Macaca fascicularis: one gene and its partners. The protein of the gene in region 2 interacts with the protein of the main gene of each other region in a pairwise test. Links are inferred from orthologs where the notes say so. Each region holds a gene or a part of one and is shown on either strand. Other genes may lie near its edges.

Evidence for each region.
Region 1: the proteins of AP4B1 (region 2) and ZNF576 interact in binary tests that used the Homo sapiens proteins (3 or more experiments, as listed by UniProt). The two-hybrid records come from large-scale screens. The link is inferred for Macaca fascicularis from reciprocal best matches to the Homo sapiens genes AP4B1 and ZNF576.
Region 3: the proteins of AP4B1 (region 2) and TEPSIN interact in binary tests that used the Homo sapiens proteins (3 or more experiments, as listed by UniProt). The link is inferred for Macaca fascicularis from reciprocal best matches to the Homo sapiens genes AP4B1 and TEPSIN.

What each region holds. Positions count from the first base shown.
Region 1 is NC_088393.1:51,631,781-51,635,925, reverse strand, and holds the start of ZNF576 (zinc finger protein 576), read right to left. Parts: upstream 2,839-4,145; 5' UTR 2,678-2,838; exon of another isoform or gene 2,333-2,677; 5' UTR 2,321-2,332; coding exon 2,236-2,320; intron 593-2,235; coding exon 165-592; 3' UTR 1-164. Other genes in the region: IRGQ (immunity-related GTPase family Q protein), read left to right, coding at 4,082-4,145. UniProt on the Homo sapiens protein: May be involved in transcriptional regulation.
Region 2 is NC_088375.1:120,464,746-120,468,881, reverse strand, and holds the start of AP4B1 (AP-4 complex subunit beta-1), read right to left. Parts: upstream 2,806-4,136; 5' UTR 2,777-2,805; intron 2,644-2,776; exon of another isoform or gene 2,575-2,643; intron 2,572-2,574; exon of another isoform or gene 2,485-2,571; intron 2,337-2,484; 5' UTR 2,261-2,336; coding exon 2,148-2,260; intron 407-2,147; coding exon 182-406; intron 1-181. Other genes in the region: DCLRE1B (5' exonuclease Apollo), read left to right, coding at 3,130-3,318.
Region 3 is NC_088390.1:87,656,872-87,660,499, reverse strand, and holds part of TEPSIN (AP-4 complex accessory subunit tepsin), read left to right. Parts: intron 1-2,239; coding exon 2,240-2,307; intron 2,308-2,512; coding exon 2,513-2,591; intron 2,592-2,725; coding exon 2,726-2,797; intron 2,798-3,344; coding exon 3,345-3,628. UniProt on the Homo sapiens protein: Associates with the adapter-like complex 4 (AP-4) and may therefore play a role in vesicular trafficking of proteins at the trans-Golgi network.

The DNA of each region.
Region 1 (4,145 bases), on a different chromosome or scaffold from region 2:
GCTCTAAATGAGAATCTTCTGGGTCCTCTTTATTAGGAGCCCTCTGCCTTCCCAGGGGAGGGAAGCAAATCCCTCAGGGCCCCCGGAATTCCTGCACCCCGTATCATGGGTGAGTCCTACTGGCCACAGAGCCACCTGTCACCACGGAGACGCTTAAGCTGCACTCAGAGCTCCCCTCGGGCATGCCGAATGTAGTGTTGATGCAGCCCTGCTTCCTGAGCAAAGTCCTGACCGCACTCTGTACAGGCGAAGGTGCCAGGAGGGGCACGGGCCTCATGCATCTGGCGGTGCCGCCTCAGAGAAGCAGCCTGCCCAAAGGTCTTGCCACAGTCAGGACAAGGGAAGGTGGGCTGGGCAGTAGTGGTTGCAACCAGTGGGGTGGGCTTGGCGGCTGGACCGTGGCTGCGCTGGTGGGTGATTAAGGCTTTGGAGGAGGGGAAGGAGCGGGCGCAGGTGAAGCAGATGAAGAGGACCCCCTGCAGCTTCTGGGCCACGAAGTCCGCTGGGTGCTCCCGCTTCATGTGACGCTCCTGGAACTTGGAATCTGCGAAGGTGATGAGGCAGCGGGTGCACTTCGGGGCCCCCAGGTGGCCTGAGAGATGTGCGGAGAGGTCAGGGGAGGCCGGCAGGAGTCTCCAGGACCTCTCCTGAACCCCAGAATCATACCAACAATTAACATTGAGTGTGCTATGTGCTCGGTTCTATGCTAATGCTGGACAACCAAACAGGAGAACTGTTCTTGGACCTATTTTATGGATGAGCAAACTGAGATTCAAAGAGGTTAGGCAAGTTGCCCATAGTCAATGAGGCTAGGAAAGGAAATGGTGGAGTCAGGGTTGGAACCCAGAGAGTCAGCCTGCCCAACAGAGGGGTATGGTGATTACAGCACAGCCTTTGGAGCCAGACTGCCTGGGATTGAATCTCAGCTCCACCACTTCCTAGGCAATTACACCAGTTTCCTTATCTGGAAAATGGGCTAATAACAGTATCTACTCCATAGGACTGTTGGAAGGAATAAATGAATTGCTGTACAGTCATTTGCAATTATGACTAATGATAACAGAGAAATCCAGCCCGACATCCAGGATATGGCCTGGTACTCACAGCTAGACCTTGGTGTTCTGTTGAACATAATTTTTCACAAAATATCAAGGACAGACAAGGTCATGCTGTGACTAGAATGAATCAAGACAAGACTACATCATAATAATGTCTGAGCACAGACAAAATATGAATGCTGTCCAAGCAGAAAAATGACCAAACATCCTCCTATCCTGGCTCATGTGAATGTCTGCTGCTACTTTATCAGTCAGAGCTTGAGCCTTGCCTTCTTCCTTCCTCCTTCTGGATAAGATTTATTACGATAGCCAATCATAGAATTGCCCCTGCTTCCTGGTAGCATCCAATCCACAGCAAAACAATTTTGCTCGCACATTCCCCAAAATCACCACCCACAAGCCCAAATCCTATGTCGTTTTTACCACTCTTAGTGAGACACCCCACAGTTCCCCCATGGTGTGTGTTCTTCATTGCAGCGAGAAATAAACCCAACGTGTTCAACTGCACGTGTGTTTCCGGTAATCTCAGGCTCAAGGGCATTGAGACTACAGCTCTTGTTACAAATACCTCTCTCTGCCTCAGTTCCCAGTTTAAAGGGCCTATTATTAGAAGGACTGAATGAGATAATGAATGTTAAAATCGTTCATAATATGAGAATAAATACACCTAGCTCATAATAAAGCAGCAGGAGGTGTTGCTATTACATGGCAAACTGGCTACCATCATTAACCCCTGGCTTTCCCCTTTGCTGCAGTTAATCCCATAACCACCCTGTGAGGTGGATAGTGCCACCCTCTTTTGACAGTCAGGGAAGCCAAGGCTCAAGTTACACTGAAAGTCTAGGACACAGGTGGGACCAGAATCTTGGGGCTTTTCTCCCAATAGAACCATTCCCAGCCACGTCTCCAACCCAAGCCTCTCTTGGAAGCCACCCTATCCCTCTGAATGCATAAGCGTTGCAATCCTGCTTATGTGGCCAGAGGAGGGTGAGTACTCTGGCCACATAAGCCGGTGTGAGGAGATGCACTTCCTGCTAGGGCAGCTCAGGGACCATTACAGCCCCTTCTCAACAGGCAAAACTCTGTGGCGCCTTGGACACTGAAGTGCCACAGAGATCTTCTTAGCATCAGCTCCTGCACCCCGCCCTCCTCTAGCCAGCCAGCCATGTGTACTCACAGATGTTGCCTCCTGGGCTCTGGGGACTTCTCTCCTTGGGTGAATCCTGCTGCTTCATGTTCTCTTCAGAGTTCGGGTCCTCCATGGTGCTGGGACCCTTCTAGTCAGGAGAGGAGCGTGCATGAGTGAAGCTGTTCATCTGTTACCAGTCTTAGAGGGCACCCTAAGTCTATGACCTTTGACATCGCCATAGGCTCTCCTTGCCTGCTTTTGACCCTTACGACATACTATCTCCTTGAACTCTAATTGATGGAGTTCTTGCTAAGAGAAGCTTCAAACCTCCCAAAAGACTTCCTGGGTTTGGGACTCAAGAGTCTTTTCACTGGTGTGACCTATGACCTGCTGCATCAAACTAACTCCCTGAACTCAGCGTGGGAGTCTTGATCTTTGACACCAGCGTCATCCCAGTCTCAAGTGTCTTGGAGCAGGTAGTGATACCCACCCTTTATTCCAGTTCTTCCCGGGAAACATCCTCTGACATCCTGTGATTTTTGTTCCGCCCAGAGCCCCCGCCTCCCACGCGCACTAGCAGCTGCTATCCCGCTACCCTCAAGCGCTGCCTACAGGTTCCTGCTCCCAGGCCTCAGTTTTCCTCCGTACAGCAGAGGGCTGCCTTTCGCTGCGCCTGTCAGTCGCTAGCTACAGCCCCGCCACCCAGAGAGAAGTGGGATAGCCCACTCAGTCTCAGGGCCCCCGTGGTTTCCGCGCCTTTTTGCCAGATGAGCCTCTCGGAGCCGAGATCCCGGATTTGGCATCCGGCAGTAGTATAGTCGCACCAGTCCGGTCCTCAAAATAACGGGAGGGGTCCTTCTCTGCACTATGGTGCGTTATGATGACGTTTACCCTCCCGCGGCGTAGGTACCGAAGCTTTTTGCGCAAGTCTGGGTAGGTGCTCGTGGCGCGCAGGCGCGTTGACTCCTTCATTGTTCGAGGCCCCGAGGCCGCCGAACAGGGGCGTGAGCACTTCGGCCGTTCTGCGCAGGCGCTGCGAAGGGCTAGGTCTCTGCGGTAGCGCTTCCAAGACACACCCCCTTGGAAGAGGGAGTGACGTCAGGTTAAAGCTACTGGGACGCGTCCCGGCATCTTTAAATCACCGCGCCCTGGCCTCTTCGGCCTCCGTCCGCTGCGGCCGAGGGGTCGGGCTTCTCAGTTGCTGACCCACCGCCACCGACTGCGCTCATCCCGTGGGTCGGCTTTTTGCTCGGTTTGTGATGTGGAAGGGGGAAGGGGAAGGATAAAAATAACAATGCGTCCGAGGGAGGAGGGACTGGAAGCCAGATTTCTGAGGTTTTATTTTTATTTATTTATTTTTGAGAGAGTGTCTTGCTCTGTCGCCTGGGCTGGAGTGCGGTGGTGTGATCACTGCCCACTGCAGCCTGCAACTCCTGGGCTCAAGCGATCCTACCGCCGCAGCCTTCCGGGTAGCTGGGGCTACCGGCGCACGCCACCATGGCCCGGCTAAATTTTATTTTTTGTGGAGACGGAGACTCTACCAGAGAGTCCCACATGTTGGCCAGGCTGGTCTCGAATTCCTGGCCTCAAGCGATCCTCCCGCCTCGGCCTCCCAAAGCACTGGGATTACAGGCATGAGCCACCGCGCCTGATTGCAGAGTTTTTGAAGCAGAAAGGGAAACGTTTCCATCTAGAAAGAGGGCGGACAGACAGGGCGCCTGGAATCCCTGGGGAAGAGGGTCTGGGCTCTGGATTTTTTAGGTCCTGGAGAGAGACACTCAAGAACTGAAGGGGACCGGGGGGAGGACTGAGGCCTTTGTTCCGAGTGGGGCGGCTAGGAAAGGAAAAGGCTAGGTGCTCCCTGACCCAGGTCTTCACCCGTTGCTTTCCAGCCATGCCTCCGCCGCAGGGTGACGTGACCGCCTTGTTCCTGGGGCCTCCTGGCTTGGGGAAGTCCG
Region 2 (4,136 bases):
TAATAAAATTATATGATACAGGTTATTAAGCCAAAGCAGTGGCTGAAAATCTAAGTTCAGGGTACAATAATGTTTTCCCCAGTATTAAGGAGCTCAAATAAATTATCCTCTTTAAAAACCTACTGCGTGATCTCTTGAAGTCATCAGCCATTTAGGACCAGACAGAGAAGACGGTACTCACCTGAGGCTACACATGCTCCGTAACGCCAGCCCTCGCACCATTGGATTGGGGTCTGAGCAGTCTTTGCACAGCGTATTGATGGCCAGGAGAGCCAGATCTGGTTTCAGGGGAGCATATGTGCACATGTACAGATAAACCAACTTCTTCTGGACAATATCTACAGTGGCACTGGCCTTCACCATTTCCATAAAAACACCAGACATGTCCAAACCCTGAGTCATGTACCTGAAACCAACGCACATGACAGAAAGAAGTAAAATGCAAAATCCCCAACTAACAATGGAGGGAGTTTTACTTACATATCTCCTGGTTACCCAACTAGCTTGTGATCTCTTAAGAGGGTAGCAGCCAGGATTACCTTGTCTATTATATCACACAGTACTTCATACCGTAGGTCTGCAATAAACATTCTTCTTCTATTCATTCAACAAACACTTATTATTATTTTTGAGATGGAGTCTTGCTCTGTTACCCAGGCTAGAGTGCAGTGGCACAATCTCGGCTCATTACAACTTCCGCCTCCCAGGTTCAAGTGATTCTCCTGCCTCAGCCTCCTGAGTAGCCGGGACCACAGGTGCGTGCCACCATGCTTGGCTAAATTTTTGTATTTTTAGTAGAGACGGGGTTTTGCCATGTTGACCAGGCTGGTCTCGAACTCCTGACTGCAGGTGATGCACCCGTCTTGGCCTCCCAAAGTGCTGGGATTACAGGCGTGAGCCACCATGCCCAGCCTCAACAGACACTTATTGAATCCCTAGTACTTTGGTGAAATTCAACTTTTACATCCAGGGACATGCTCTTGGGACATAATCTTGAAGAAGGCGTGGTCTCAGACCTCTAGGAACTTCAGATCTATTAATGAGCCAGATAAAAATACCGTTAATTATGGTATGATTGATAAGTATTTAAATAGAAGTATTGTACAAGGCGCAGAGGGGATTCAGAGGTCTAACACCGGCAGGAAGTCAGAAAATGTTTCTTCACAGAGGAAGTAACACTTTACCAGAATGAGCAAGAGCTCACTAGGCAGATGTAATCGATGTAACAGAAGGTATGAGGTATGTAGACATGAGCAGGAGTGGCATACATTTTTTTGAGTCTGTAGGTAGTTGAATTAACAGCTTGTTCCTTGGGTGCTGTGGTAAGTTTGGACTTCATTGTTTCTCAAACTGGTCGCCTACTGGAATCAGCTGAGATGTTTATTAAAAATACAGATTCCTGGGTTCCCTCCTACCTTACTGAAATCAGAATCAATCCCTGGACTGGATGACAAAAAGCACCCCCAGGGATTTTTGTGCACCGTAAAGTTTGTGAACCATAGCTGTAGGCAAGAGTTATATGTTCAGATTTGTATAATGGGAAAATTCTGTCTCAAATGAGGCAAGGTGGCCTACTAGTAAGCTGCTGCAATTGCTTTGGTGATGAAGGCCTGGACCAGAGCAACAACGCCAATAAACAAGAGAGGGTGGATATTTAGAATTATGAATTCAAACCATCTGACATGAGAAGTGGGGATCGGGTGTCCTCAAGGTTGGCTCCCACGCATAGTCACTGCTGGTGGCATTCATCAACACAAATGTAAGCCGAAGAACAGGTTTGAGGAAGACGGAAGAATGTCCGTGCTATTTCGGACATACTTTTGATAAACCATGCAAGTGGAAATGCCAAGCAGGCAGTGGGATACGTGGGTCTGAAGCTAAAAAAAAGAAGTCTGTACTAGCTATATTATAGATCCAGGAGTTAGCAGTAATTGTTCAAGCCTGTGATATGGAGGAAACTACCCAGGTAAGTAAAAGATGCTGCAGAGGAGAGACTGAGATAGTACTCCAAAGCAGCAGGACGAAGACCGAACCATATAATTGCCACGTGTGAAAGCTAATTTACCCTTTCAGAGAGACTGGGGCTAGTGAGCCCTGATGGGGATTGCAAAGGGAGCAAACAGCACGCGACGGGAGTTAGGTGATACCTAATCACTCGCTGGATGACATTCCGGTAGCGCAGCCTATCAGCTTGAATGTGAGGATTACACAAAGCCTTCTTCAGCTCCTTCACCACGTCCTCGGAGCCAAGGTACGGCATCTTCCTAACAGTCACAGGGCAGCTCCCACAGCTCCCACGGTAACTCGTGGGCTCCTTCTCGTCTTGATGTGGGAGCCTGAGTAAAGGAAATATGAGTCAGTGAAAATACTAAAGACGAAATCTCGCCTCAGGCTCGGCTTCCGTAGGGCCGGCACGCTGGCCCTGACACACTTCCACGCCCTCCGCGACCCCGCGAGCCCCACCCTGGGCTCTTCAGGCCCTACCCTCGCCCGGCAGGCCGTTCGCCCCGCCCACAGATCGCTCCCGCTAACACTAGGCCCTCCGCCGGATTTCCAGCGCCGCGTCCGACTGACCGCAGACCCCTCCCTCTCCAGTTCCAGCTTTTCCTGCGCCTTCAAGCCGTTCTCATCGCAGATAGGCCCAATCTTCCTTTCTGCGGAAGTCCCGCCCCCTTGTCAGGAGACCAAACAGAAGCGCGCTGCCGGTCTCCCAGCGAGCGAGGGCTGAGCTTGGTCCCGACTCCGACCTTAGGATGCCCTTCCCTCAACCTCTCACCCTCCAGGCGCAGTCGCGCGGCTCCCTCTGGTGGAGCTGCGGCGGGCAATCGGAAATCGGCTACTTCGGCCTGTCTCCTCCCAGCAGCGCGCGCTTTGAGTGCCCGGCTTGGCCTCAGCTCCCGCGCGGTTGGGAGTGTCAAGCGCCCTCCGCTATTTGGGCTTGCGCCGGCACGGTCACTTCCTTTTTCTGCCCACTCTAGTGACTTATTCCTCTGCTGGGCTCTTTCCCTTAGGGTATCTGGCCCTGTTCTTGCCCCAGCATGACTTTTATCGGGGCGCCGTTGTGGAAGCCTCACGCAGGAGCCCTGCCCCCGCGGAGAAGATCCCACTGGTGACTACAACCCTGCCACCATGAATGGGGTCCTGATCCCCCACACGCCCATTGCAGTGGACTTCTGGAGCCTGCGTCGGGCTGGCACCGCACGGCTCTTCTTCTTGTCTCACATGCACTCGGACCACACCGTGGGCCTGTCTAGCACCTGGGCCCGGCCCCTCTACTGCTCCCCGATTACAGCCCACCTCTTGCATCGTCACCTACAGGTATGGGGCTGGAGTCAGTCTCCAAGAGGTGGTCCAGGCATCTGGGTTGGGACTTCGACCTGTCATTCTTTGAGTCATAGAATGGGGGCCACCAAGACTGATGCGGAAGTTGTTTGAACCCAAAAATGCATCTTTAACTCAGAATAGGAACGTGGTTTCCAAGTGACCAACTTGAGATATTTAGCTATAAGTTGAGGAGATATTTTAGTCCAGCCAAGGAAACTATTGCTACCTTTATACATAAGCTAGGCTGATGTTTCCCAAACTTGCTTTTTTTTTTTTTTCCTGATACGGAGTCTCGCTCTTGTTGCTGCCAGGCTGGAGTGCGGTGGCACGATCTCGGCTCACTATAACCTCCGCCTCCCGGGTTCAAGAGATTCTCCTGTCTCAGCCTCCTGAGTAGCTGAGATTACAGGCGCACGCCACCACGCCCAGCTAATTTTTTGTATTTTTCGTAGAGACGGGGTTTCACCATGTTGGCCAGGCTGTTCTCAAGCTCCTGACCTTAAGTGATCCGCCCGCCTCAGCCTCCCCAAGTGCTGGGATTACAAGCGTGAGCCACCACGCCCCGCCTAAATATGCCTTATCTTAAGAATCCACCTAACGTGCTGGGTGGTTCTCCAGCTCTCTCCCCACCCCACCCTTAAGTCTCCAAGATATTAAGATCAGGAGTAAGTTTGAAAATTGCTGACTAGACTGTTTGATGAACTCTCCCCCCACCCCACCCAGACGGAGTGTCCCTCTGTTGCCCAGGCTGGAGGACACTCCAGTTCACTGCAAGCTCCGCCTCCCGGGTTCACGCCATTCTCCTGCCTCAG
Region 3 (3,628 bases), on a different chromosome or scaffold from region 2:
TCTGGGGAGGGAGTGTCTGTCGTGCCGCTGCTTGCTTATGGAGACCCTAAGCGTGTCCATCCACTGGGCTCACCCCAAAACCGGCGTCGAAACCAGTGTTGCCCCACTTTGTGACAAGTGGGCATGCAGCTCTAGGTGTCCCTCAGGGGCCAGTGCCCTGGGCCACCATCGACAGTTGTGACACATGACTTAGGCGGTAGATGCCCCTGAAGGAACGGCTGTGTGAGGGCGCTCTCGCCATTCTAATAGAGCTCCTCACAGCTTTGGGGCCAAGGCAGTACCAGCCATTTATCCTCACCATTCAGCGGGTCAGAGGGCCCCGGGCTCCCAGGCCACTCCCGTGGCTGTGGTTGGTGCATGTACGTTGTGGCTTCAGTGGTCTCGGGGACATGCCCTGGGGTGGGGGCTGCAGCAGGTGTGGGGATGGGGCATGGCAGGCCCCGAGGTTGGGAAAGGCTGTTCTTCAGACCTTGGGTTCTTGTTGGCACTAGAGTCTGTCCTGTGCAGAGGCAGTTGTGGATGATGGCTGTCGCCTGCCGTGCCTGGGCACTGGCCCTGGGCGGGGCACAGGATGTGGGAGGTGTCACGACAGCCCTGTGAGGAAGGCAGGCGCACATGAGAGACGGGGCGGCCCCCGCCAGGCGGCGGGTGTGCAGTGAGGATGGCCCACCCCACGCACGCAGAGCGTCAGAAAGAGGAAAGAAACACAAAACGCAGCTGACAGTTAAAGACGGGTTTTCTGTTTTGTTTTGTTTTTTTTTTTGAGACAGAGTCTTGTTCTGTCTCCCAGGCTGGAGTGCAGTGGCGCGATCTCAGCTCACTGCAAGCTCCGCCTCCCGGGTTCACGCCATTCTCCTGCCTCAGCCTCCCGAGTAGCTGGGACTACAGGCGCCCGCCACCGCGCCCGGCTAGTTTTTTGTATTTTTAGTAGAGACGGGATTTCACCGTGTTCGCCAGGATGGTCTCGATCTCCTGACCTCGTGATCCGCCCGCCTCGGCCTCCCAAAGTGCTGGGATTACAGGCGTGAGCCACCGCGTCCGGCCCAAGACAGGTTTTCTTTAGTTAAAACCTGAGAGGCGCCCCCAGCCGATTGTGGTCAGAAGCCCCTTCTCTTACAGACTAAGCGTGTGTTGGTTTTGGGGTGAGGGCTCGTCAGGAGCTCGGAACGTGTGTGTGGAGAAGTTCGTGGCCGGGCTGGAAGGACGGCAGGTTATCCTGGGACATCTTTCCAGCCCGGAGGTGGGTTCTCTCGAAGCTGGCGTCTTCCCGGCCGGAGGAGGGTTGTCTCGGGCTGGCATGTCTCTGGTCGGGGAGGAGTTTGGAGTGTTTCTGGTTGGAGATGTTATTTGTAGTTTATGGTTGTGCTGACTTTAGCCATTAGGCTGATGCCTTTTGGATTTAGGCGGTTTTTGGTTAAGGTGAACTTTAGAATGAGGGGCTTGTCCAAGACGGTGATGCTCCTGCTCTGTCACAGAGGAGGGCCAGCGCGAGGTGGCAGGCGGGTGCCCTGGGCTCCTGCGGGAAGATGGCAGCTGCAGGGGTCAGTTTATCCAGCCACTGACTCAGCTTGCGGCTGCCACCCTGGGCCCAGGGACAGCCAGGGGCGTCGTCTGCGAATCACAGGGCCAGCCTGCCAGGGTGGCGAGTGGATTCATCTGTGACTGAGGCTCTCCAAGGGTTCTCAGAGGCGCGGCTGTCAGCATGAGCCCTGAAAGGATGCCTCGGCTCCAGGTGCAGGCTCAGGAGGCTCTGGGGCCGGAAGATTTAAGGACAGAAGTCCCAGTTCACCGTGAGAGGAACTCTCAGGGCAGGGGAGCCCGAGGTGGCTGAGACTGAGGATGGGTGGGTCCAGGCGGAGCTTTCAGGCTGTGATAAGAAGGCTGGTGTCTCCCTCCAGGCCCCGGCAGCCTCCGAGGGGTCCCTGGTGCACCTGGGGCAGGGAGAGTGGGCTGCAGGGAGGCCGCACCAGCTCAGGCACCAGGGGTTGCCAGCCCTGGGGGAGGCGAGGTGGTTGCGTGGAGAGAGACTCGCCTCTGTGGGGCATGGGTGGGGGGAGCTGAGGGTCTGCTCTGGTGTGGCCTCTGCGGGGTCCTGGAGGAAGGCGTGCCAGTGGCCGTGACAGAAGGGCCCGGGTGGCAGGAACTTGCCACCCTGGAGTGGGCCCAGTTCACCATGTTCTGCAGGGAGCAGCGGTGCCAGGCTCAGCCCTGCCCCCCACTTGCCTTTTATGTTCTGCAGCTTTTGCGGGGCCCCCAGATCCTCTGCACGGGAACAGCTTGTACCAGAAGGTTCGGGCGGCCGCGCAGGTGAGCCCAGGAGCAGTGTCGCTCTGCGGGGTGCCCTTCCTCCTGTAGAGGGCAGGACTGGGGCCAGGATGTCAGCTGGGGGGTTTGCAGTTCCCCTGCCCGGGACCCCTGCCTCTGGGGGACAGAACACAGCTGATACGAGTGGCAGGGTGAGTACAGGAGGCCCCGGCATGAGGACGCTGAGGGCCTCCGCCTCCCCATGTAGGACTTGGGGAGCACCCTGTTCTCGGACACCGTGTTGCCACTGGCTCCCTCCCAGCCTCTGGGGAACCCGCCTGCCACAGGTAGGTGACCGAGGGGACTGTGTCCAGTCCCGGCACCGGGTTTCTGCCTCCCTGAGTGTCCTCGGCGTCTGTGCCACCCATGGGCAGGGCCGACGGTGGGGGCCGACTTACCGCTGACAGAGGACCCTCTGCAGGCATGGGCTCCCAGGCCAGGCCGCACGGCACCCTCCAGGGTTTCGGCTACAGCAAGGAACATGGCCGCACGGGTGAGTGGGAAGGGCCTGCATGGGCCCCGGCATCTCAGGGTACAGGAATGAGGAGGGCGGTGGGGGCCGGACCATGCTGCCCCACCTGGTAGCTGCTGCCCCCCGTCCCCTCCCCTACACGGCCTCAGCCCTTCCTGGGGCTGTCCCTACTGCTGCCGTGGGGGTGGGGCAGGTGTGGCCAGGGCTGCTTTACGGACAGGCGAGAGAAACCAGGCCCAGCAAGAAGTCAGGGCTGGGTCCCATGGCAGGGGGAGTCCCACTCCAAGAGGGGCTGAGGGCTGTCCCCTGGCTGTAGTGTGAGTGACTCGGGCAGTCCTGTGTGGAGCTGTTACAAGCTGGGGCAGTGCCAGTGGACAACTACTCATTAGCGCCAGAAGAACCACAGGTGGCACCACGGCCTGCAGCTGGGACCCAGCCCCCGGCCCAGCTGTGCCCTGCTGCCAGGCCCCGGGCGGTGTCTCGCCGCTCACCGTTAGGCTGTGTCACACTGTCCTGCACGCAGCCCGGGGCTCCTGCTGACACTTTGGTGTGGGGGCACCTTCTACAGGGAGCTCACACGGGAAAGGCCGGCCCCTCCCCAAGCCCTGGACACACCTCCCTGAGCCAAGGCCGAGCCCAAGCCCCTTAGGACACCCTCACCCCCAGAGGACAGAGCAGAGGGACGGAGGCATAACTGCTGTGAGCTGGGTGTCTAGGCCACTGGGCGTGGGAATGCCAAAGTGGAGTCCACCGGGAGCTTCCAGAGGGCCTGGGGTCCACCTGGAGGCCTCCCTCCCTGCAGCGTGTACCCCGACCTCCCCAAGCCTGAGCAGGGAGCCCATGCGGGCACCC